2 linked regions of the Sus scrofa genome follow. The protein of the gene in region 1 interacts with the protein of each later gene in a pairwise test. Links are inferred from orthologs where the notes say so. Each region holds a gene or a part of one and is shown in the gene's direction. Other genes may lie near its edges. The genes, in order: SNX15 and RTN4.

Region 1 (12,193 bases):
GATTCGTTGCCACTGAACCAGGATGGGAACTCTTTTTTTTTTTTTTTTTTTTTGACAAAGCAAAAAGCTTTATTGGGAAGAGGCTCCCTGGGCAGAGAACAGTAGGGTAAGGGAATCGGATTTGCTGCCATGTGGCTCAAAGCCTCAGGTTTTATGGTAATGAGGTTAGTGTCTGGGTTGTCTCTGGCCAGTCATCTTGTTTGGCCCATAATTTGGTCTGAGCTGGGGTCCTTTTCTGGTGGCACATGCATCCCTCAGCCAAGATGGATTCCAGCGCCAAGGATCCTGGGAGGTTGGTCACCTCCTTCCTTCTCTCGGCCCCTCCCAAATTCTCCTGGTTAGTATTTGGCAGCACGTGTTCCTTCTTGGGACCTCCCATTGTCAGAGTGCATCTTAAGTCTGATTGTAGACTGGAAGGCTAGAACGAGAAAGAGTGGGGTTAGAAACTGGGTTCTGCCACTTACTAGCTGTGTGACTTTAGGAGGTTGCTTAACCTCTCTGAAGTTTCCTCCTCAGTAAAATGGCCAGTACAATCCCTGGCTCATGGGGCCTTGGGGGGGAATGGGTGAGAGGATACTGTAGGGCCCAGAGCACCACATCGGGAGCCCTTGTTGCCGTGCTGGTCTGGCTGTCGTGTACAGAGAGCTCAGGTGCTCTGGACGGTGGAGCGGAAGCGGGGTGCGGGGGTGTGTGTGACACATCTTCACCAGGGGCCAGGGGAAGCCTCCCACAGCAGGCCCTGGAGGGAGGTGTGGATTTCCCCTGGGCCAGGAGGGGAAAGGGGCTGAGGGGGGTCGGGCCCTGTGGACACCGGGGCCCTCTGTCACCTTCCTCCCTTCTAGGCCCTGGAGCTGGACTCCATCCGCAGCCACCACTGGTGCATCCAGGGCTGCAGTGCCGTCACCGGGGAGAACCTGTTGCCTGGCATCGACTGGCTCCTGGATGACATCTCCAGCCGCATCTTCATGGCCGACTGAGCCACTCCAGATGCCCCCTCACCTCACGGTCCAGGCGCCCCCACCAGGCCCTCGCCAGGCACCATCCACGCGGGCATGGGAGTCAGCCAGCCCCACTAACACCCCTGCCCCACTCCATAACCTGCTGCTGCTACTGCTGCCCACTGCTGCTCCGGGGCCAGCCGGCTCCCGCCCTGGCTGTCACCCTGGCTCCTAACTTGGCCTGCGGCAGCAGCAACTATACCAAGAAGAGAGGGCTGGGGCTGGGAGGGGGCTGCGTCTGCTGCTGTCAAGGCTGTGGGCCTCGTCTTTTGCTCAGCTGTGAGAATAAAGTGTTCCTCGCCCCCATTCCTGGCTGAGTCATTTGTTGATTCAACAACCCTAGAGACCGCCTGGAGTTCATTGGCCAGCAGAGGACAGAAAAGGTAATTGCAGTCCGAGGTGAACTCGCTGTATGAAAGGGACTGCAGAGAGTTAGAAAAGTGCAGGACAGGGCTGCTGGGAGACGGGGTGAGGGGGGAGCAGGGAGGCGGGGAGCGGGGGGGACGGACTCCGATGCAGGAAGGAGGAGCAGGCATCAAGTAGAGCAAGCTAACGAAGAGCAGAGCTGCGAAGGGGCCTTCCCTCAAGGCTCAAGGGCATTTCTGAAGCAGGAACCAGACTGGGAGAGCATGGGAACCAGGGGGACCCCAGGACCCCCATCCAGGTGGCAGAGCAGATGGAAGTTTTCACAGGGCCCCCTGCTGTGGTCCTGCCAGTGGTGCTTTCTCTGCAGGGTTCCCTCTGAAGATTTGTCACTTGCCATCACACTGAAGAACAGCCCCAAACAGGACAGATTCTCAGTGTCCCCATTCATAAAGCAACTGAGCCTCCGGGAGGAGACGTGACTTACCCAAAACTATCCACCTAGGGCGTTCCCACTGTGGCTCAATGGTAATGAACCCGACAAGCATCCACGAGACACAGGTTCCATCCCTGGCCTCACTGGGTTAAGGATCCATGCATTGCCGTGAACTGTGGTGTATGTAGGTCACAGACGCAACTCAGATCTGCCGTGGCTGTGGCTGTGGTGTAGGCCAGGGGCTACAGCTCTGATCGGACCCCTAGCCTGGGAACTTCTGTATGCCACAGGTAGGCCCTAAAAAGACAAAAACAAAAAAACCCTATTCAGCTAGGAAGCAAGGGCCCAGGATTTGGACCCAGCACGCTTAGCCACTAAACCCTGCTGGTTTTAGTTTTTGTTTCTTTTCTCGAAACTCAATGCCAGGTGCAAGGAGCCTAATGTGTCTATGAGGGAAGGGCAGTTTTCTCAAGGGAAAAGAGGAAGAATGACCAATTTACTCTTAAACCAGGACCCTTTCCTGAAGGGGAGGGGCCTATGCAAAATTTGGGCTCTGTTAGGGTGGAAGAAGGGAGGTGTTGAGCGGACAAACTTAGAACATAAGCTTTCCAGTGCGGAACTATAGAACCACCTGCCCTGGAGTCCCTGTCGTGGCTCAGTGCTTAATGAACCTGACTAGCATCCATGAGGATGCAGGTTTGATCCCTGGTCTCGCTCAGTGGGTTAAGGATCTGGCGTTGCTGTGAGCAGTGGTGTAGGTCGCAGAGGCGGCTTGGATGCAGTGTTGCTGTGGCTGTGGCGTAGGCAGGCAGATGTAGCTCTGATTGGACCCCTAGCCTGGGAACCTCCATATGTTGTGGGTGTGGCCCTAAAAAGCAAAAAAAAAAAAAAAAAAAAGGAAAAAAAGAAAAGAAGAAAGAAAGAACTAACTTGTTTCCATGATCTTAAGAGTCTGACTTGGGAGTTTGCATTGTGTTTCTTTCTGGAGTTACAGCACCCACTCATCTGAGTTCCAGTAAAGAGAGTGGCCATGAGCGCTGTACCCATGCTCCCTCATTTAAGCTTCACAGCCTGGGGGTGGTAGCATCAGGCAGGGTCTTGCATGGTTTGCCAGATACAAATTACGACTGCTTTCCACAGAAAGAAATTTTCTCCGGGAGTTCCCGTCATGGTGCGGCGGAAACAAATCTGACTAGGAGCCATGAGGTTGTGGGTTCAATCCCTGGCCTCGCTCAGTGGGTTAAGGATCCAGCGTTGCCGTGAGCTGTGGTGTAGGTTGCAGACACAGCTCACATCTGGCATTGCTGTGGCTGTGGCTGTGATGTAGGCCTGCAGCTATAGCTCCAATTCAACCCCTAGCCTGGGAACCTCCATATGTTGTGGGTGTGGCCCTAAAAAGCAAAAAAAAAAAAAAAAAGCAAAAAAAAAAAGAAAAGAAGAAAGAAAGAACCTTTCGAGGAAGGACACTGGGAACTCATAGCATCTTGATGGAAGTCAGATATCTAGGCTTGTAAAACAGAGTGCTCCAAAAGGCTGGACAGCCAAACCTACAGCCAACACTGTACTCAGGGAACAATTCAATCCCCTTGCCATGCATTCTGTCCCTCACTCAAGATTTAAGGCTTCAGGAGAGAGCCCACCACCCTGCCCTGGGACCTGGGATAAGGAAAGCAGCCTCCACCTTTGGATTCTGGGCTACCAGGCCCACGGGCTGCACACACCAGTGAACCACCTCCAAACAAAGATCTGGTGCTAAGATGCTAACAGCAGGAGGCAGCGGTGAATGCCGGACAGGCCACCAAAGGATAAAGAAACATCTGCTGCAGTAGATTCTATTATAAACCTCCCCATTCTAGAGATGAGAAACTGAGGCTCAAGGGAAACTCATGGGCTAAGGGAAACTCATGGGCTAAGGGAAACTCATGCAGACAGTAAGAGCCCATGACACCATCGTTTCAACACCCCCCCCCTCCTTCCAGAAAACATGAATTTCGTGAATCCTAGGGAGGGAGAAATAATTTGACACTGTCTGGCATATATTGAATACAGTAAAAGTCAGGTGGATGGATGAAATAAGTCATTTAGAGAGACTGCGATGAGGGTTTACAGCTCACATGGGGTAGGCTCATGTCTAGGCAAAACCTAGTTATCCACCCATCCTAATGCTTACTCTCAAATTGTCTCGTTCATGCTTCACCAACAACCGAGAACTTTTTAGACGCTCCCTTGGCCGAGCGCCCCGGCCGAGAACTGCACTGTCACTTGCGACCAGGTCCCTGGGCAAAAGGATGAAGGGCGCAAGCCCAGGAGAGGCGTTGGCTCGTGGAGACTGACCTGGAGGGGCGGGGGCGGCGCGGAGGAGGCGGAGGGCGGCGGGCAGCTCCGCTCCAGCTCGTTTGCCATGTCCCGCCAGGCGAAGGACGACTTCCTGCGGCACTACACAGTCTCCGACCCCCGGACCCACCCCAAGGGCTACACCGAGTACAAAGTCACCGCGCAGGTGAGATGGGGCCCAGCGGGGACTTTTACCCTTTTAACAAGAGGGGGCCGTGTTTTACCTTAAGGCGAGACGCTGCTGCAAGCTCCCATTTTAGACGCTGGAAATGAATTTCCCCTTTAAGAGACGGTGGCGGTAAGAGCCTTCGTTTACTTCTTTAGCCGTCTAGGAGTGGGGCCATAGAAGGGCGCTGCCCTCTTAAAAGGGCGTGACAGCAGTACCCAGCCGGTGAGGTGTGGGTGCCCACTCCCTACGCTCGGCGTCTGGCAATCAAACTTAATTTCTTTAAGTTAATATGAAAACTCTGGCTCAACCCAAATATTGGTTAGTTCTCCAATCTCTTGGAGTAAGTTCTGTCTATTGGTTTGTTTGATATTTACATAAAAGCCCTCTAAGGAGTTGAATTACTTTTAATTTTTCAAAAAATAATGCTTGTGTAGGACTAAAAGCTCATACAGTTCAAAAGAAATTAAGGAGTAAGTCTCCTCTTCACAGTCATAACGAGAAGTCAGTATATACAGACTAAAGTTGACATACGAAGCAGTGCCAACGTTATAAATATATTATAGAGAGACATGGAAGAAATCATGAAAATTTAAAATAGCAACAATATAACGATATCTGTAGAGCCATATACAAAACCTAATTGGGAAAGATTTTTCACTGTAAATTTTTTTAATATACTTTCACAATTTTGCAGTAGGCTGGTTAAACTGATGCATTAGTAACTATTAAAGTGAAGCAAAAACGTAAAGACTTTCAAAGTGGGTTTTTTGTTGTTGTTTTGTCTTTTTGCCTTTTCTAGGGCCGCTCCTGAGGCATATGGAGGTTCCCAGGCTAGGGGTCGAATTGGAGATGGAGCTGCCGACCTACACCACAGCCACATCGAACCTGCAACCTCAGGGTTCCTAGTCGGATTCATTAACCACTGAGCCATGAAAGTGGTTTAAATGCAGAATTCTATCCTAAATGTTCCTCAAAGTGGTTTAAATGCAGAATCCTATCCTAGATGTTTAAAATGAGCTTTCCCGGAGTTCCCATCGTGGCGCAGTGGTTAACGAATCCGACTAGGAACCATGAAGTTGCGGGTTCGGTCCCTGCCCTTGCTCAGTGGGTTAAGGATCCGGAGTTGCCGTGAGCTGTGGTGTAGGTCGCAGACGCGGCTCGGATCCCGCGTTGCTGTGGCTCTGGCGTAGGCCGGTGGCTACAGCTCCGATTCAACCCCTAGCCTGGGAACCTCCATATGCCGCGGGAGCGGCCCAAGAAATAGCAACAACAACAAAAGACAAAAAGAAAAAAAAAAAAAAAAAAAAAAAAAGAGCTTTCCCCAAATCTTTTATGTCTTTCTCATGCCTAAAAAATGCAAATAAAAAGTCCAAGACAAATGTTATATGATACCACTTATATGTGGAATCTAAAAAATGATGCAAGTGAACTTATTTACAAAACAAAAATGGACTCAGAGTAAACAAATTTATGGTTACCAAAGGGGGAGGGTGGGTAATAAATTAGGAATTTGGGATTAGCAGATACAAACTATTATATATAAAATAGATAATCAACAAGGTCTTACTATATAGCACAAGGAACTGTATAATCTTGTGATAAACTATAATGGAAAAGAATCTGAAAAAGAAAATGTATGTACGTGTTTGCATTGTAAATCAACTACGTCAATAATAAGTAAATAAATAAGAATTGAAAAAAAGATAGTCCCTGGGAATTGCTGGGTCATTTGATGAGCATATGTGTAGCTTTCCCAATAATTGCCAGTTTTCCAAAATAGTTGTAACATTTTATATTCCCATTCTCAGCAGCACCTGGTATCATCAACATTTTGGCGGGGGGGAGGGGGATCTTTTTACAGCTGCATCTGCAGCATATGGAAGTTTCTGGCCAGGGGTTGAATCAGAGCTGCAGCTGCCAGCCTGTACCACAGCCACAGCAATGCCACAGCCACAGCAACACCAGATCTGCAATCTATGCCCATAGCTCATGGCAATGCTCGATCCTTAAACCCACTGATTGAGGCCAGGAACTGAACCCACATCCTCAGGGATACTAGTTGGGTTCTTAACCCACTGACCTACAGTGGGAACTCCAGCATCTTTAATTTTAACCATTTTTGGTGGGTGTGTAATATTTCACTGGAGTATTACTTTGGTGACAATTTTGAAGTTGAGTATATTTTCAAAATCTTTTTGGCCATTCAAAATCTTCTTTGGTTGGAGGTGCCTGTTGAGGTATTTTATCCATTTTGTAAAGTTCAGTTGTTTGTCTTTTTAATATTGATTTGTAGGAGTTCTTTATATTCTGAGTAGGAGTCATTTGTCAGGGATATATTCCTTAATGGGTTTTTTGTTTGGTTGGTTGGTTGGTTTTTGGCCATGCTCATGGCATGCAGAAGTTCCCTGGCCAGGGATCAAACCTGAATCACAGCGGTGACAACATTAGATCCTTAACCCACTAGGCCACCAGGGAACTCCCTCAGAGTTTTATTGTTTTTCTGTTTTTTGCTTTTTAGGGCCTCACCCACGACATATGGAAGTTCCCAGGCTAGGGTTGAATCAGAGCTGCAGCTGGAGGCCTACACCACAGCCACAGCAACAGAAACATGGGATCCGAGCCTCGTCTTCGACCTACACCACAGCTTATGGCAACGCCAGATCCCCAACCCACTGAGCAGGGATCGAACCCGAATCCTCACGGATACTAGTCGGGCTGGTTACCTGCCGAGCCACAATGGGAACTTCCCTCATTGGTTTTTAAATATAGTTTTTTTTTAACCAATATTATTTTAGGGAAGTCTGTTGTGAACAGCAAAGGCCAGGGTTTCAGGGGTAGGAGTCCCCCTGACAGGTCACATCCCTCATCTGAGCTTCCATTTAATCAGGTTTTGTTTTGGGGTATTTTTTTTTTTTTTTGGCCACACCCATGACATGTGCAAGTTTCCTGGTCAGGGATTGAGCCACAGCTGCGATCTAGGCCGCAGGTGCAGCAGCACCAGATCCTTAACTCCCTGCGCTGCCCCTTGCCTGGAGCCGCTGCAGTCGGGTTCTTAGCCCACTGTGCCGCAATGGAAACTCCTATTTCCTCATCTTTTAAAAGGACTTGTTAATCGCGTCTGCCTCCCTGGGATCTAAGATACTGAACAGGAGTTGTTGTGAAAACTGTGAAAGTTACTTTGAGCTGTAAGATGTTATTTTTTAACTGTTAGGAGCATATAATGAAAATGGAATCTTCCACCTCAGACACTAGTCTACTCAGGAGTCCCAACCCCAGTGACAGTTTCTTCTGTGTCCAGGAGTGTTCGCCCACCGAGGCTTCCTCCTTTAAGGAAGGGGTGGCTCCTGGGACAGAAACTCATTCTTTAGAGAACTTGGGGTTCTTTGGTTTCAGAAGGAGATGCAGGAACTTGGCCCTTGGAAGGAACTGAGATAAAAGTTGGGCTGAGGAGCTCCCTTCATGGCGCAGCGGCAACAAATCCGACTCGTGCATGAGGCTTTGGGTTTGATCCCTGGCCTCGCTCAGTGGGTTGGGGATCTGGTGTTACCATGAGCTGTGGTGTAGGTCGCAGATGCGGCTCGGATCCCGAGTTGTTGAGGCTCTGATGTAGGCCGGCAGCTGTAGCTCCAATTTGACCCCTAGCCTGGGAATCTCCATGTGTCGCAGGTGCGGCCCTAAAAAAAGCAAAAAAAAAAAAAAAGGTAGGGCTGAGGCTCTAGACAGACCTTTAAGGACCTTCCCATTTTGAGAGAGGCTGGAACTTTACTAAAGAGCTTGCATTTGCACCTCGACAGAGAACGCAAAGAAGCTTGTAGGGGCTACGGATAACTGCATGCATGCACAGTCGAGGCAGCCATGAACAGTAAGATACACAAAAGCCGCAAACCAAGTGCCAGGAGCAAAATCAGCGGGTTCCTGAGCATGATCCCTGGACACACAGCACCACAAGGGGGTGGACAGACTACCTAAGCCCCCCCTCCAGCCGCCTCTGCTAATCCGCCCCCACCCTCATCCCATTTAAGGGACCGGCCAGCCCTCCTGGGAGAGCAACACGAGTAAGGGTGTCTGTTACTTGTTTTCACTCCCTGGTGGTGCAAATGGGTCCGCATTCAGCCTTGCCTGAATTCCTCGTCTGGCTTCATCAATTTCTATTGATTACAGAGTCCAGGGAGCCAGGTTGGTAACCCTTTGACAGATGAAGAAACTGAGGTGCATGGAGGAAAAACTGCTCAAAGTTTAAAGCTCAGAGCCCTTCATGTGATTTTTAAAACTATGTGCATTTGATGGCGATCCCCTTATGGCACAGCAGAAATGAATCCGATTAGGAACCATGAGGTTGCAGGTTCAATCCCTGGCCTCGCTCAGTGGGTTAAGGATCCAGCGTTGCCATGAGCTGGGGTGTAGGCCGCAGACGTGGTTCAGATCTGGTGTTGCTGTGGCTGTGGCGGAGGCTGGCAGCTGTAGCTCTGATTGGACCCCTCGCCTGGGAACCTCCATATGCTGCAAGTGCGGCCCTGAAAAGACAAAAGACAAAAAAATTAAAATAAAATAAATAAATAAAACGATGTGCATTTGAGACACTAATTAAAATAAAATTATATTCAAGTCAAAAAAAAGCTCAGAGCCTTAAAGCCAGAACACCTTTTTTTTTGTCTTTTTGCCTTTTCGAGGGCTGCTTCCTGCGGCATACGGAGGTTCCCAGGCTAGGGGTCCAGTCGGAGCTGTAGCCATCGGCCTACACCAGAGCCACAGCAACGCAGGATCCGAGCCGCATCTGCAACCTGCACCACAGCTCACGGCAACGCCGGATCCTTAACCCACTGAGGAAGGCCAGGGATCGATCCCGAAACCTCATGGTTCCTAGTCGGATTCGTTAACCACTGCGCCACCATGGGAACTCCAAAGCCAGAACACCTTGATACCTGCGGTCAAAGGGTCTGCCCCTCTGAAGGGGGCTGGGCGGTAGCCAGGGCATCCTGTGCTTTTACAGGTGATGGGGTGTCAGGTGTCTGTCTCTGGTCTCACCTGGTTCTTGCCTTTTTTCCTCAGTTCATCTCAAAGAGGGACCCGGAAGATGTCAAAGAGGTGAGGCTCCTGGGAGGAGGGGACCTTTTCCCAATTCCAGATCTGGAAACGGTAAAGAAACAGGGGGTCGCTCTGCCAGGCAAGCAGCCCACCTTCCTCCCTGACGCTGGGTGTGTCACCATAAGGCACACAGAGCCCAGGGCTGGGGTGGGAAAGGCCGAATCCCACCCTTGCTCCGCCCGGTCAGGACACCTGTCCCTCTTAGGTGGTGGTCTGGAAGCGGTACAGCGACTTTCGGAAGCTGCATGGGGACCTGGCCTACACCCACCGCAACCTCTTCCGCCGCCTAGAGGAGTTCCCTGCCTTCCCCCGCGCCCAGGTGTTTGGTGAGCCTCGACCCAGGCATTCAAGCCAAAGACGGAGGGAGGAGGGAGCGTTGGCCAAAGGAGACCCCTGCTGGTGCGGACTGGAGAGAGGGGGCCCGACACTCCTGGTTGTGCCATGTTTCAGACAGCTGGATGGGCCTGTAGAGGTGGCCTCATTTTACAGATGGAGAAACTGCTGTGAGCCTTGCCCCTATCATGTGCCAAACCCTTTGCCATTTCTGTCCTCACGGGCTCCATGTCCAAGGAGAGGATACGGGCTCAGAGATGAAGGGGCTCGACCTGTAAGTGGCAAAGTTTCCTCTAGACCTATGCTGTCCAGACACAGTGGCCACGAACCACACGTGGCTGAGAAGCACGAGAAAGGTGGTTCGTCTAAACCGAGATGTTCTGTAAGGGCCGAATTCACACTGAAAGAAGACGGCAGGAGTTCCCATCATGGCTCGGTGGTAACGAACCTGACTCCTACTCACAAGGACATGGGTTCGATCCCTGGCCTCGATCAGTGGGTAAAAGATCCAGCGTTGCCATGAGCTGCGGTGTAGGTTGCAGACACGGCTTGGATCCCACGTGGCCGTGGCCGTAGCTGTGGCGTAGGCCGGCAGCTGCAGCTCCGATTTGACCCCTAGCCTGAGAACTTCCACTTGCTGAGAGTGAGCCCCACTCCCCCAAAAAAGAGAATGCAAACTATCGCTAATTTGCATATTGATTTCATGTTCAAATGAGAACACTTTGGACAGAGAGTTCCCATTGTGGTGCAATGGAAACAAATCCCACTAGCATCCAAGAGGATGCTGGTTTGATCCCTGGCCTTGCTCAGTGGGTTAAGGATCCCAAGTTGCTGTGAGCTGTGGTGCAGGTTGCAGATGCGGCTTGGATCTCAAATTGCCGTGGATGTGGCGTTGGGTGGTCGCTACAGCTCCAGTGTCACCCCTAGCCTGGGAAGCTCCATATGCTATGGGTGCATCCAAAAAAAAAAAAAAAAAAAAACTTTGAACATATTGGGTTAAAGAGAATATATAATTAAAATTAACCTAATTTTACTTTTTTAAAATGTAGCTACTAGAAAAAAATAAAAAATAAAGTGAAATGTAGCTACTAGGAAATTGTAAATTTTCAGATTCTATTTCTGGTGAACAGGGCTGATCTCTTCCTTGGGTCTCTAGACTCACAGGAGATGTTCTTTCGTAGCAAGGTGAAAGGTCATTGCTGGCAGGATATGCCAAGCAGTGGAGCAAACAGCAGTCCCCTCCCCCTGGCAGCATAATAACTAGCCCAGAGTTAACTGACTCTGTCTGCATGGGGAGTTCTCCTGTGGTGCATCAGGGTAAGGATCCAGTGTGTCACTGCAGCAGCCTGGATTTGATCCCTGGCCTGGAAACTTCCACATTCCAGGGGTACAGCTAAAAACAAAACTCCGAGTGATACCTGAAACAGAACAGTGAAACTGTGAAAATGGGCTACTTGCTGTGTGACCTTGGGCAAGTCACTTCCCCTCTCTGAATTTTACTTGCCGCCCTGCTACATCAGAACCATTTGAAATGATTTGTTTCTTATTGGTTGCCTGCTTCCTCCTGTCTAGGATGTGATATATCCATCAGGGCAGAGACCTTGCCTCTCTCTTTCACCTTCTAAACCTAGCACATAGTAGATGCTCAATAAATGTCTGGTAAATGGGCGAATGGGGAGCTTGGTCCCTCCTTGCAAGAACCCCACCCTGGGGCAGAGCCAAGGAAGATTGCTGGGAGAATGGGGAGGGGGCGTGGGCTGCTCAGATCCTCTCAGGCCCCGGGGGCCGGAAGCCCTGGTGAGTCACCGTGCTCTCCCTGCCCCGTGTCTGGTGGGTGCAGGCCGGTTTGAAGCCTCAGTGATCGAGGAGCGGCGAAAGGGGGCCGAGGACCTGCTTCGCTTCACTGTGCACATCCCCGCGCTCAACAACAGCCCCCAGCTCAAGGAGTTCTTCCGGGTACGTGTACCTGCTCTTCCCCGGCCCCGGGCACCTGGGAAGCTTCCCTGCCCATAAGCTGCACCCTGTGACTCCCCCTGGCTGGTCTTTCTCTCCCGCAGGGTGGAGAGGTGACACGGCCCTCTGAGACGTCCAGGGACCTGCACATCCTGCCACCCCCTCTGATCCCCACACCACCCCCTGATGAGCCTCGGGTGCAGCCTCACGAGTCCTGGCTGCCCCAGCCTCTCCCTGCAGAGAGGAGGGGCCTGGAGGAGTTGGAGGGGCCAGGTACATGGGGTGGGGGTGGGAAGCGGCCCAGAGGGCCCAGAGTGTGGGGACGGGGAAAGGGGGAGGGGAGAACTCCATTTTCCTTCTCTGGGCTCTAGTTTCTTTGTCTTTCTTTTTTAGGTCCGCACCCACGGCATATGGAGGCTCCCAGGCTAGGGGTTGAATCGGAGCAGTAGCTGCAGGCCTATGCCGCAGCCACAGCCACGCCAGATCCCAGCCGTTTCTAGGACCTACCCCACAGCTCGCGGC
Region 2 (12,288 bases), on another chromosome or scaffold:
TCTTTCTGTTTTGATCTTTGATTATTAGTGAAGGTGAACACGTTTCATATGTTTATTGGCTGTTTGTATTTCTTTTGCAAATTGCCTGTTCATACCCTTTGCCCATTTTAAAATTTATAAGTTCACCTCATTCTGAGTTTAGGAGAGTTCTTTACATACGGTGGATGCAAATTCTTTTCATACTACTGTTTTCCTTTAGTTTTCTAAGTAATTTTTATTTTACTTTACATTTTAGTGGACATTTTCAATTTTCACATGGGAAACATACTTTTTTTTTTTTTTTTTTTTTACTAATTCATAGTTTGATTTTTACATTTAATTGTGATCTGTTCAAAATTGATTTTGAATTCTGGTCAGAGATCATTTTAATTCCACATGCCCTTTTGGTGGTGGAGTTGTTTTCCTATTCCCATCACACACTGATCTAGTACCCTAGTACCAGGGGAGCTGTTTTCCTATTCCCATCACACTCTGATCTAGTACCCTAGTAACAGGCAACAATCCTAAAAAAGCCAGAAAATTGAGAATAGTTTTTGCCAGATTGCATGCTTTGGGTTGGACAGCCAACTATACAACACCAACTATATATGGTGTTGGTGCCATCTAGTGTTGTACATAGAAACAAGGTCTATGGCATCCTCTATAATTGACTGTGTGGAAATTCAGTTGGGCAAAGAAATTTAATGAGCTGTGGATGTTTGCTTCAAACTAAGAAATAACTTTGAAAATGCCTTTATAAAAGTATTTTGAATCTTGACACATTGTATTAAGTCAAACAAATGGAATCATGCTGCTGTAAACATGAAAGGACCTCAGACATTCCCCCAAATAGGAACTTTAATGAAAACTTAAAAAGTTTTAACAGATCTGTTCAGAACCTAATGACTATTAAGTTTTTTTTAACTCCAAGTTTAAAAGTGCTTTGGATCTTTTGGAATATCTGTATATTTATTTTAAATAATAATACAAGAAGTCATTTACTTAGTTCTCATTGAATAGGATCACTTTCAGTTTCTGTATGGTTTTTAGTGTTCATTTTCAGCAGCTTATATGAAATTTTTTATAGACCATAAAATGCTCATTATTTTTATTTTAACTTACTCATTTTCTAGACTAAAGTCTTAATTCATGTCTTAAGGTTCAATTCAGTAGTTAATGTTGAAGTGCTATAATTTAGTCCATAGAGGGCATTATATTACAGCGTATGGTGTTAAACAGCATTAATATCTTTTGGTAATGAGATATATGTTTAGTTTCATGCTTTTGTATAGCTCTGAATAATATAAATTTTAAAATAAGTTTAAAAATAGTGTATATATATGTAATATTTATGTGTGTGTGCATATATATATATATATATTTAAAATTCTATTATCTATTGCCAGAAAGGAGAAGTATTAGCTATCAATAGTTGTATACAAGCAACCCCCAATTTAGAGAGTAGCACTTTCAGTCCGAATGACCACTTCTCTCTCACTTATTTCCCTTGATCTCTTAACATTGAAAAGCAAACAAAGCAAGACAAAAACCTGAGTTTCTCTGGGGTTCAGAATTAGAGGAAGGAATGAAATGATAAAGGAGGGATATCTTGGGAGAGTTGAGCTGGGCGGTCTTACAGCTTTCATATTGCTGTCTATTCCAAAAACAGTCTTCCACTGTCTGAGATCCTGCCACTGAGATATAAGCCTCTGCACCCCTCCCCAGTATTTATGAGAGCATTATAGAGAAAGGAATTTATTCCTTTGAAAGACTTAATCATATAATTTTCCCGCTAATGAGATAAGGTGCACTAAGAAAATGAGAGTTTTGATTTGAGATATGAGAGAAGAGAAACATAAAGTGTATGTAGTTTTAGAGCCTGATAGCCTTTTGGAAAGGAATTAGGGATATGCTTGAGGAGGTTTGGGGTGTTGGGTTTTGACATGCTAGGGGAGGTACTGGGTTATGTGGACATGAAGGAATGGGAAGTTGCCAATCATGAACTCTGAAATTTTATTTCAGAAGTTCTCTGTTAGGCTGATTTTGAGTTCAGGAGAAGAAGGATAACCCTCCTCCTACCCCCTATACATAATACACAGTAGGACTTAGAATTCAAATAGCACTTTTATTTGCTCGCATTGTAAATGAAGGGATCTTCTGTGGTCCCCCCCTTTGGAAGCCTTTACTTTTAAGGGAGGAAAATAGGTTCCTTATCCAAAATAATCAACTAGGTATGTATCTGCTCTGTTTGGAAATAATCCTTGGAATAATTTTTCATTCATTAAACAAAATGTTAAATACTTGAAGGAAAACAAAATAAATGGAGGGTTTTTTAAAAAACAGATTTGTGTTCATTGTTTGCCTATTGAGATTTGATATGAAATAGGACCTATAAACTATCCAAAGATAAATTTTTCTCAGCTGGGGGAGAATGGAACCAGATAGCCTGGCACCATAGTTTGTGTGTGTGTAGAGGGGTTCTTCTGTTCAGAGAGGTTATTGTGTTATTGCCTAGACTGAATGGCATAATATATGCACTTTCTTATATGTGTTTTACAGACTTTGTCTCCTTGTAGTTTACTAGTAAACAGCTAGCGCACAGGGTCACTTTTTGTAGGGCACTGTCCTAAGGTCTTTTGCATACACTAAGTCATTTATTTGCTCCTCCTAGTACAATAAGCCTAGCCCGATGACTTTACCTTTTTAGCACATTTGTCTCATCAAGATTTTCAAATTTAACCACATTTCTCTTAGATTACCAAGCTTAAAACAACTTTAGTTTTAAAACTTTCTAGGAAAGAAATGGGCAAAATGTCAATTGATTTATCTTAGCTAATTTTCCCTGTAACTTAATATAATAGCCTGAATTCCCAAGATGATAAAAATTAAAAAAATTAGATATTGCTATATATAAGATTAAATTTCAGGGCTCCTAGTTTGACTTTTTAATCTGCCAGGGGAGCTATTAAGTATATTTAGTGTTTAGGTAAATGAATTTACACATTCTTATTCGCTCAGATGATTTTTAAAAATTATTGAACCTAGTCCAGTACCAGAAAATGTGAATAACATGAATGGTAATACCTTTGCTTCAAGAAATCTCCTCCCACCCCCCTTTTATTAGTGTAGTAATCTCTGATTTGAAAACAGTGTTTGGGTGCTGTTTTTGAGTGTGTTATTCTAATGCTAAAGTATTTATTGGCCTTCAGCCTTAAGGGATTCATTATTAGGAAATACTGTTTTGGAAATATTATGTATTTACTGCCTAGTTTGGGATTTCTAACTGTTGCATGGAGAGGCCAGACATTCTCAGCCATGATATGAGTTGGTGACAGTGTTCTCAAATACCACATTTTGCAGGGGTTCAGTGAATAAAGTTAAATATTAACTTTTGAACTGAGAATACTAGACGCTCTTTAAAAATTGCTCCGCTTTATTTATGTTTGCATTTAGGCATAGAGGCAAAGAACTGAGTCCCTTGATATTCAGGCTGCTTCTGATATGAAGGATTTTGCAGAGTTTTGCAGCCTACACAGTTTTATGGGAAGTTCCAAAAAATACTATACCTATTTCAAGTGTACCTGTATAGTCTTACGAAGTATGTACTTTCGTCCTTAGGCTGCATATCTTATGATACTTCAATATATCGCACATTTGAAGATATTTTCGCTGATTTGTCATTATATGTTTCTGCTTAATGATTAATGATTAAACCAGTAAACCATCAGTTAAACCAGTTGTGAAACATTAGTAAAGACTTAATATTTTGCACTGGAATGAATGCCAGTTTCATAAATTTGAACAAAAATTTCAGGAATTCTTTATGGATTTGTCTTTGTATTTATCAGTAAAATTTTAGCTTGTTATTATATCCTTTTCCCAAAGCAAATGATATAATTAGCACATGAATATTTCTCCTCAAGCCAAGTCTATTAATAGTACCTGCAGTGGTGTCTAATAGATATTTATTGAAAGATTGAGTTGGAGCAGGTGATAAGAATAAGTATATATTTGCAAGTCTCTGGATTTCCATAGTTGTAACAGAAGAAAAAAATAATATTACGTTAGAAATATGTATTCAACTGCTAAAATTGAATATAATTTTTTTCTATTGAAATTTAACATATATTCAATAAATATTAATAATTTGACTTCATGATTCTCCTGTCATGCCCTTCCTTATAAGGGTGCAAAATGCTGATTATTTAGAAGCAAGTAAGAGACTCAGCATTTACCAGACTTGAAATTTAAGTTATTACCCTTCTTTGGATCAGTCCATTTTTATCTTATCAGGTAACTATTGATTTTAAAGTTTTAAATGAAGCTGAAAACCATCAGTAAATTCCCCTGTCAAAAAAAAAAAACAAAAAAAAAACTGCACATGGCTTGAAGTGTATTTCAAGTATATACAATGCTTAACTCTGCCAGAACAACCCCCTTTTCTTTCTTTTGGTAGCTTGCCCCTCCCCCTGCAAAAGTAGCTTTGTTTGGTCTGAGCAACAAGCAAAAGACTAGAACAATAAACAGATAGAAGGCGGTAGTGCCTGAGTATTAGTAGCCTAGTTACAGATTGCACTGCGTCAGACTGCTCCACACCCAGAAGGCGTCAGGTGACTGCAGTTGTGCAGCAGAGGAGACTGCAGACTTCGGTTGAGGAAACATATTTCATGTCTCAGGGGGTAGATTTTTGCAGTTACAGCTTTTCTGTTGGTATGCATAATTGATAATTGCATCTGGAGGGCAGATCGTGACAAGAGATGGACGGTCAGAAGAAAAATTGGAAGGACAAGGGTATATCTGCTTTTTAACCTTTATTCAGTTTTTTTTATGTAACCAACAAAATATTTCTATGAATAAGCTTTGCCATTTAGATATATTTTGGATTGCAAATGAAGCCTGTGGAAGGTTTAAGAGTAAAGAGTTAAAAGAGCTATTTCAAATGTTTTTGCATTTGGTTATGTATGAGAAAATGTCATGCTGTTCTGTTTCACTGGCATTTGATTTAGTCTCTGCATTCCGATCTTTGATTAGGTTCTATTCTTTAATATTGCACATTGTAAACTGTTTAGTTTTAACATATTTCATTTGTTGGTCACTTTGGTGTGATGAATCTACATTTCCATCTTTGTATTTCATAATGACATATTTTCTGTGACTATTTTTTTAAAAAGCTGACTCTCGGAATGGTTGAAATTCTATCCAAAGGTCTGTAGGTAGCAAGATCTTGCATTTACAATAAGCTCGTTTTCTTCTTTGGAAATCTTATTATTAAATCTTTGAAGTTACTACCAGTGGCCTTTTAATTAGATTATAATTTTGTATATCTTAAAATGGTTAAAATGTATACATGGTAGTTTTAAATGTGTGTCTATATTTAAGTCACTAACCCTTGTCCTTGTAATAACCAATCAGTGATCTTGATCCCTTTTCCTCCCCCTTGAAAGCCCAGATCCTTTCAAGTCTCAGTGGATCGGGATTGTGTAAGAATTTAAGCGCATAAGTGTAATGAATATTTAAAAAATATTTTATTATGTCAGTGGTTAAATGTGCCATTTTAAGAAAAAGGGAAGGTAGTAGACTGTATACCTGGCGTTACAATAAATTGTCTTAAAAATTATTAGAGCTATTTTTAAGTAGTCCAACTAGACATTCCACACAAGCAGTTTTTTTTTTTTTGGCCATGTTCAAGTTTTATAATTTAAAACATTATTTATTTCTATAGCAGAATTTTAGCAGGGTTGGTGATAATGTTTCTAAAAGCAATCTGTGGAGCTAATTACAGTAACCTTTACAGTATTCTTTTAAAAATTTGTTCAATAAAGTATTGTGGGGAAAACATGAGCTTAATCTTGTTCATATTGAGACATTGGAAAGCTTTTATAGTTACAATTTAAAGAACAGAAAATAATACGTCTTTGGATTTTTATCTCTATGGTTTTTTATGTGTGAATTTAATGAAGAGAAGGATTTTTATTTCTTCATCTTTCTGACCATTAGCATTACAAAGTGAAAGGTGAATTGCTACACTAGTTTTTGATTAGTAAAAATGATAGTAGTGCTAACAATACAGGGAATATAGGCTTTAAAAAATAGGCGAAAAGTCACATCTGGGCCTATTCTGCAACTTTTTAGGCTCTGTATTTGTAATTTGAACCTTAGTCCATTTAATAACATCTTAAATTCTTTATGTACTCAACTAATTTAAGGATATTTTGAGACTGGAGAAATTAAGATCCAGTATAGTGCATATTATACCAAAGATTTATTTTGATTATTTTTAGATACTAAATATAAAATCAAATTTACTCTTAAATATCTCTGGGGAGGCTCACTTTGTAAGTGAAGTGGCTTGATTTTTTTTTTTTTTTTTTTAATGCTTGTCTTTGGCTTTTTTTGCTTGGAAAGACTCTTTCTGATTCATTGGTTAAGGTTTATTTTAGTATTCTCTTTATCAGCAGCTAATTTTAATGTTGTAGATTATAGATTACAGCATAAATGGAAATCAGTGAGAAGCTGAAGCTGCCATGGAATGAGTTTTTTCTCGTTTTATGAAAAGTGTAACAATAGAGGAAAGTATCTAATCTAAGCTCTCTAGGTATATTAAAAAACAAAACAAAAAAACTTAAGGCCATTTTTTTTTTCCCTGCTGCTTTCTTTACCACCCCTCTACCCTCTAAGTGCCATGGTAGAAACACATTCAGTCATCTGATGATGGTAGCATATGAAGGTATAAAAGAAGTGAGAGATACTCTGATTTCAGTGTTTTTTAAACATTGGGTTGTTTTTGGCCGAATGGCTAGTATTTAAAGCATTTATCTTTCAGGCTAAGACCAACATTAATAATTGATATTCTTTTACATATTTTTCTTCTTGAATTTCCTGTTGTTGTTAGCAGGATATTAAAAACAAATTAAATCTATGTCATACTTGATTTTTTGGGTTATATGGGAAGCATTGATTAAGACAGGTCAAAAGATTTTTGAAGCACTTAAAATAGAAAGGAATGATAGGTTTAGGCATTTGGGTCGGGGGAGAATGATGTAACCACTAAACAAGGTATTTTTGAGACAGTGAATACAGCTTTTTGGGTAGAAAAGAATCTTTATAGGATAGTAGTTGAAAGATAAGTTGATATGATCTAAGAGTATAGAAGATTTGCAAGATCTAGGTTAGGTTTCATCAAACTTCTTTGAAGATGAGACTCACCTAGTGCTTTTTAAAAATATGGATTGCTGTGATCCTCTTCAGATCTACCAAATCAGAATTTACAGGGGAAGAATGTGGCACTGTATTCAGCACCCTGTTGTAATTCATGTTATAATCAGGCAAATTTAAGTGTTTAAGTTTCTTTTTTCTAGTTTAATTTGATTTTGGTCTGAGTAAGAGACTTACCCTTTTTGGTCTTCAGTTTCCTCTTTTGCGTGATTTCTGAAGCTCCCGTTTTGATGTTTTCTGGTTTTTAAAAAGATACCCTGAACCAGATTGCAGAAGTCATTGGGTTTTGGATTTTATTATAAAGGAAATAAAGAGCCTTTGGAAATAGGCTCTTCCATTAAAGTACGGAGTGATAAAATGATAGGAGATTTAAAAGACTGTTTTAGGGTGTTGTGTAAGATAAATTGCAGAGGCACTTAGAAGGAGAATAGGATGGCCGTATTTGTGCCCAGGTTTAAAAGCAAATAGTGCCTGAACTTGGCCTGAAAAGGAAATGACAGATTTGAGAATTTAAGAGAGGAGTACTTGACATTTGACATAGATTTGTGGGGCTAGGGTGAGGGAGGGACTCAAAGGACAACATGAAATTTCAGTCAGAGTGAAACCTTGGCAATGCTAGTACTTTATTATTAGTCGAAATAGAGCTAAGGTAGGTAGTAATAATGCCAAGTTCTGTTTTGGAACCTTCAAATTTGAAGTGATAGAATGTCTCTGAAGCTCATAGAAACGGCAGGTTTAATGATGAATGAAAAATGGGGAATTGAATGCAAGGTGAGACATGAATACTGCAAGGATATTTCATAGAGAATGGAATTTAAGGACAGAAAGCCTAAAACCTACATTGTAGGGACATGCAGGAACAGGAAGTTATAGTCAGAGCAGGGAAAGAAGGATAGTGCTGGTTCCCTATTTTCAAAAAGGGAAGAGTGGTCAAATACTACAGAGAAGTAGTTAAATATGAAGACTGAGAAATGATTGTGGACCCTGTTGAAGTTTAAGAATATGTGCAACACTGCCCACATTTTTAAAAAGGAGATTTTAATTTAATGATAAAATAAAATAAATAAATATTTATTTTTTGGCCACACTCACAGAATGCAGAAGTTCCCAGACTAGGGTTTGAATTCAAGCCATATCAGTGACAATGCTGAATCCTTAATTGCTAGGCCACCAGGGACCTCTAGCACTGCCCATTATTATTAATGCTTTTGGGATTTGGCAGTTAACATGCTGTAGTTGACCTTTGAGAAAAGTCTGTAGGTTGGGGACAGAAATGTTTCTAGCATTTAAATTCAGTTTGAGTATACGGTGAGGCAGACTGGCTTTGTACCACTTCTGGAGCATACTTCATGAAGAAGTTCTTGTAGGGCTCCTTGACCTCTACCTTTGCTAAGTCACTTGTAGTTTCTTTCAAAGCTTAAGGTTACATGGGTACAGGTGCATACTCACACTACCATTCAGGAAGAGAGAAGCAGAGGTCTTGCTGCTTGAAGTAATTGCCTTACTTAATCCCTGTGAATGCCTCCCAAAACCCAACCAACCAAACAAACCAAAAAACCAAAAAAAAAAAAAAAAAAAAAAAAACACCCCAAAAAATTCCAGAGAAGGGACCTGGGGCATTAATCAATTGCAAGACCCATTGATTGGAGGAAGATCCTGTGTTTCAGTTCTAAACTTAGTTGAAATCCAATGTTTAGTCGTTCATTAGGTATTTCTTCTAGATTTTGGTTTAGTAGCTCAAAACTTTGTGTATGCGTGTCTGTGTGTGTGTGTGGTAGAAAATTGTGAAGGTCTATGGAAGAATAAAACTCATTTCACAGAGTGGTTTTGGTGTACATTTCTAATGGTGTGTGCATGTGTTGCAAGGGGGTACATGTGGTACATTTTGTTCTGTAATCTTTTTTTTCCCACTAAATGGGGAAGTACTTTCACTTAAAAAATACTCTACATTGTTTTAATGGGTATAATAGTCTAAATACATACTGCTAATCCCATGTAGTTAAGTATTCAAGCTATTCCTAAAGTTTTTGCAAGTATGAACAATGCTAAAATGAATATAATTGAATGTAAATTATTGTTTTTATTCATGATTATTTCCAAATTGCAGAATTATAGTATTTAGGTTGTTGGTTCATGTTGCAAAACTTCCCTCCAGAAAGATACAAATTATTTTGAGCAATGTATTAGGAAAATCTGTCCTGAGACCTTGGCCAAGATTATATACAACATACGCATTTCTGATGGTTTTAACTCTTTGTGAGATAGCTATTTTGTCAATTTTAAGTAAATTATTTGATGAGAACCACATTTAATTTGAAAGAGTAAATTTGCAATTGTTTTGTCCTATATATGGTTTAAAGTCTTGATGGATAGTAATGGGAGCAATGGAAACATCCTCTCTTTTCTTCATTTACCCACATCTGGATATTCCTAAGGATATTCCTAAGGAACTTCTGTTTTTTTGCTAAATCTTATGTGTCAAGCCAAATTAATCTTATTAAAGTATGGCTCTAAGTATACCACTTAAGGGCTTTTTCTTTACTTTTCAAATTAAGTTCCTAGTATCTATCCTGGACTTTGAGAAGGCATTCTGTGGTCTAGTTCTAGCCTTGATAATCCTATCATTACTTTGTCTTCAGCCACATTGAAGGACTTTTTCGCTCAACATGCCTGTTCTTTGCATTTGCTTGTGTTTTTCTGTCTAAATTCCTTCTTCCCATTTCATTTTAGTCAAGTCATCAAAGGCCCAGTCTTTCCTGAAGTATTCACTAATCCTCCCAGGTGGACATAATCCAGTGTTCCTCAGAACGTCCATCTCTTGCTTTTATTTTGTGGCTTATATTACTTTATATTTATTATATATTATATATAATATGTACATATTGAAGGCAGAAACAGTGGTGGCTTCATCACTGTGTCTTCTCATTGACTCTGCACAGCTTTTCAACAAAGTAAGAGAATAGGAACTTTGATGTTCAGCCAGGTTTTCTCCTTAGCTTTATATACATCCATTCTTGGAAATTTTTAAAGATTGTTTTTTCAAACGGGGTAAATAAAAGGGATTCCCTGCCTTACCCCTTCTTAAAGGAGCAATTAAGTAATTTAAGCTACTTTTGTAAATCCAGATTTTTAGGTTATACCTTCATATAAGACATCTTAATATTTATTTTTGTTTTACAGGTAAGGAAACCAAGAAAACTAGAGATTAAATTATTCTAGTGGCATAGGGACTTTGTCTTTATTCTACAATTTATGTTTATACTTGACCAGTTGAAGACTGAAAATTATAAAAGCTGAAATAATCCATGTTTTGATGTTTTATTCATTTGTAGTCGAACCGTGACATCTTTTTGTATGTTTCTCACTCTGCACTGAAAGAGGCAGTAAGTAGTCTCTCACACTAGCTATGAAAGAAGGTGAGTTTGGTTAAAGTTCAGTATAGTCACATGGTTTTTATAACAAGCCTAGTGAGGGCTCTGTGGGCCAAGAAAGAATTTCTCTGTGACTTTAGGGATTGGATTACATGCTTTCGAATGTAGGAAAAATATTGAAGCAGTGAATAGAAATCTTCTTTTGTCTCCAGGTATCCTCTAGGTTCCGTTCCTTTTTTATTAACATGTTTCCATTTCTTGCTAGAATTTAGGCTCAAGGATGCTTATAATTTAGCTAGTTCTTCTCTTTGCGTCTTTGGAGCAATATTCTGAGACCAAATTCTGTTTCTGTTTTATCATGGGTAGTGTTTCCTTATGTTATGGGTGTGTGTTTGTCAGTATGTAATGTATAAATATATCTATTTAAATCTGCTTTACTGCTTTCAAATTTTTAAATCCAGTCATCTTTTACAGATTTGTGTAAGGTATTGATAGATGCTAAAATACTCTTGTCTCTCTTCAGTGCTATATCACCCCTATCTTATATTTATTCTATGTAGTGTTTTCTTAAGGAGCTCAAAGCAACTTAAAGATTAAGAAATTATTAAATACTAATGATACTCCCCAAGTTTATTGTTAATAAAGCTGGGAATGGAGAGAGATTTAGGAATTATTATTCTCAGATTACAGATTTGCAAAAATTCTGATTTTCCATAAGATTTTCTGTAAGGATAGCTGTTGTAAATGTATAGTTGTTATATACACCCATTTGTGTATTTTTTTTCCACCTAAGTAATCTAAAAATTAAGAGATTATTCTGCTCAGTGAAGTGAATACTTTACTATTAGTCATTTATTCATTGAGTGTTTATATGGAGTGTGTGCCACAGGTGCATAAGGTTATAGAAGTATATAAATAGTTCACTGAAGTTCATTCCCTTTTTTTGAACTAATAATTTGCTCTGACTTTTCCCCTCATTCCAGGTTATTAATAAGAGTTACAGAACAATATGTTTTCCATGTATTTTTTATTCATAGTAGAAAATAGCAATTTTGTATTTCTAAGGTTTGGTGCCTATTGTATGGATGCCAACAAGAGGTGAAGTTGTAAGTAGAAAGTTAGAATTATCGTCTGCTGTATTTTTCGTCATCTTCTAGTAAAGGTGGAAATGGAATGTGTAATTAAAGGAAGTAGTGAAAACCATATGAACTATATGTAAATTGGTGTGATAGTTTTGGAACCTCTTTATTCTCTATCTCCAAGAAGTTTGGATTTCCTTTGGAAAGCAACAACCACCATAGGTAGTTTTTACCTTGCTGCGATATACTGAGACTTTTTTTTAGCAGAAACAACCACTTAAAGAGAGCTCAGATTTCATAGCAAATAACAGAGTTAAGGCTTTATCTTGAAACATAAAACCAACAATTATGAAAATAAGTTTTAGGAGTTGTTGTGGCTCAGTGCTAAGGAACCCAACTTGTATCCATGAGGATGCGGGTTCGAACTCTGGCCCTGCTCAGTGGGTTAAGGACCTGATATTGCTCTGAGCTGTGGTGCAGGTCACAGATGTGGCTTGGATCTGGCATTGCTGTGGCTGTGGTGTAGGCCTGCAGCTGCACTTCCAATTCAGCCTCTAGCCTGGGAACTTTCATATCTGCTGCAGGTATGGTCGTAAAAAGAGCCCCCCCCCCCAAAAAAAAACAAAACAAACAAACAAACTTGA

The links.
Region 2: the proteins of SNX15 (region 1) and RTN4 interact in binary tests that used the Homo sapiens proteins (3 or more experiments, as listed by UniProt). The two-hybrid records come from large-scale screens. The link is inferred for Sus scrofa from reciprocal best matches to the Homo sapiens genes SNX15 and RTN4.

The regions. Positions count from the first base shown.
Region 1 is NC_010444.4:7,147,074-7,159,266, reverse strand, and holds the start of SNX15 (sorting nexin-15), read left to right. Parts: upstream 1-4,063; 5' UTR 4,064-4,198; coding exon 4,199-4,297; intron 4,298-4,355; exon of another isoform or gene 4,356-5,146; intron 5,147-9,349; coding exon 9,350-9,385; intron 9,386-9,590; coding exon 9,591-9,711; intron 9,712-11,558; coding exon 11,559-11,674; intron 11,675-11,775; coding exon 11,776-11,944; intron 11,945-12,193. Other genes in the region: ARL2 (ADP-ribosylation factor-like protein 2), read left to right, coding at 843-977. UniProt on the Homo sapiens protein: May be involved in several stages of intracellular trafficking. Overexpression of SNX15 disrupts the normal trafficking of proteins from the plasma membrane to recycling endosomes or the TGN.
Region 2 is NC_010445.4:86,211,269-86,223,556, forward strand, and holds the start of RTN4 (reticulon-4), read left to right. Parts: upstream 1-4,566; 5' UTR 4,567-4,736; coding exon 4,737-4,770; intron 4,771-12,288. UniProt on the Homo sapiens protein: Required to induce the formation and stabilization of endoplasmic reticulum (ER) tubules. They regulate membrane morphogenesis in the ER by promoting tubular ER production.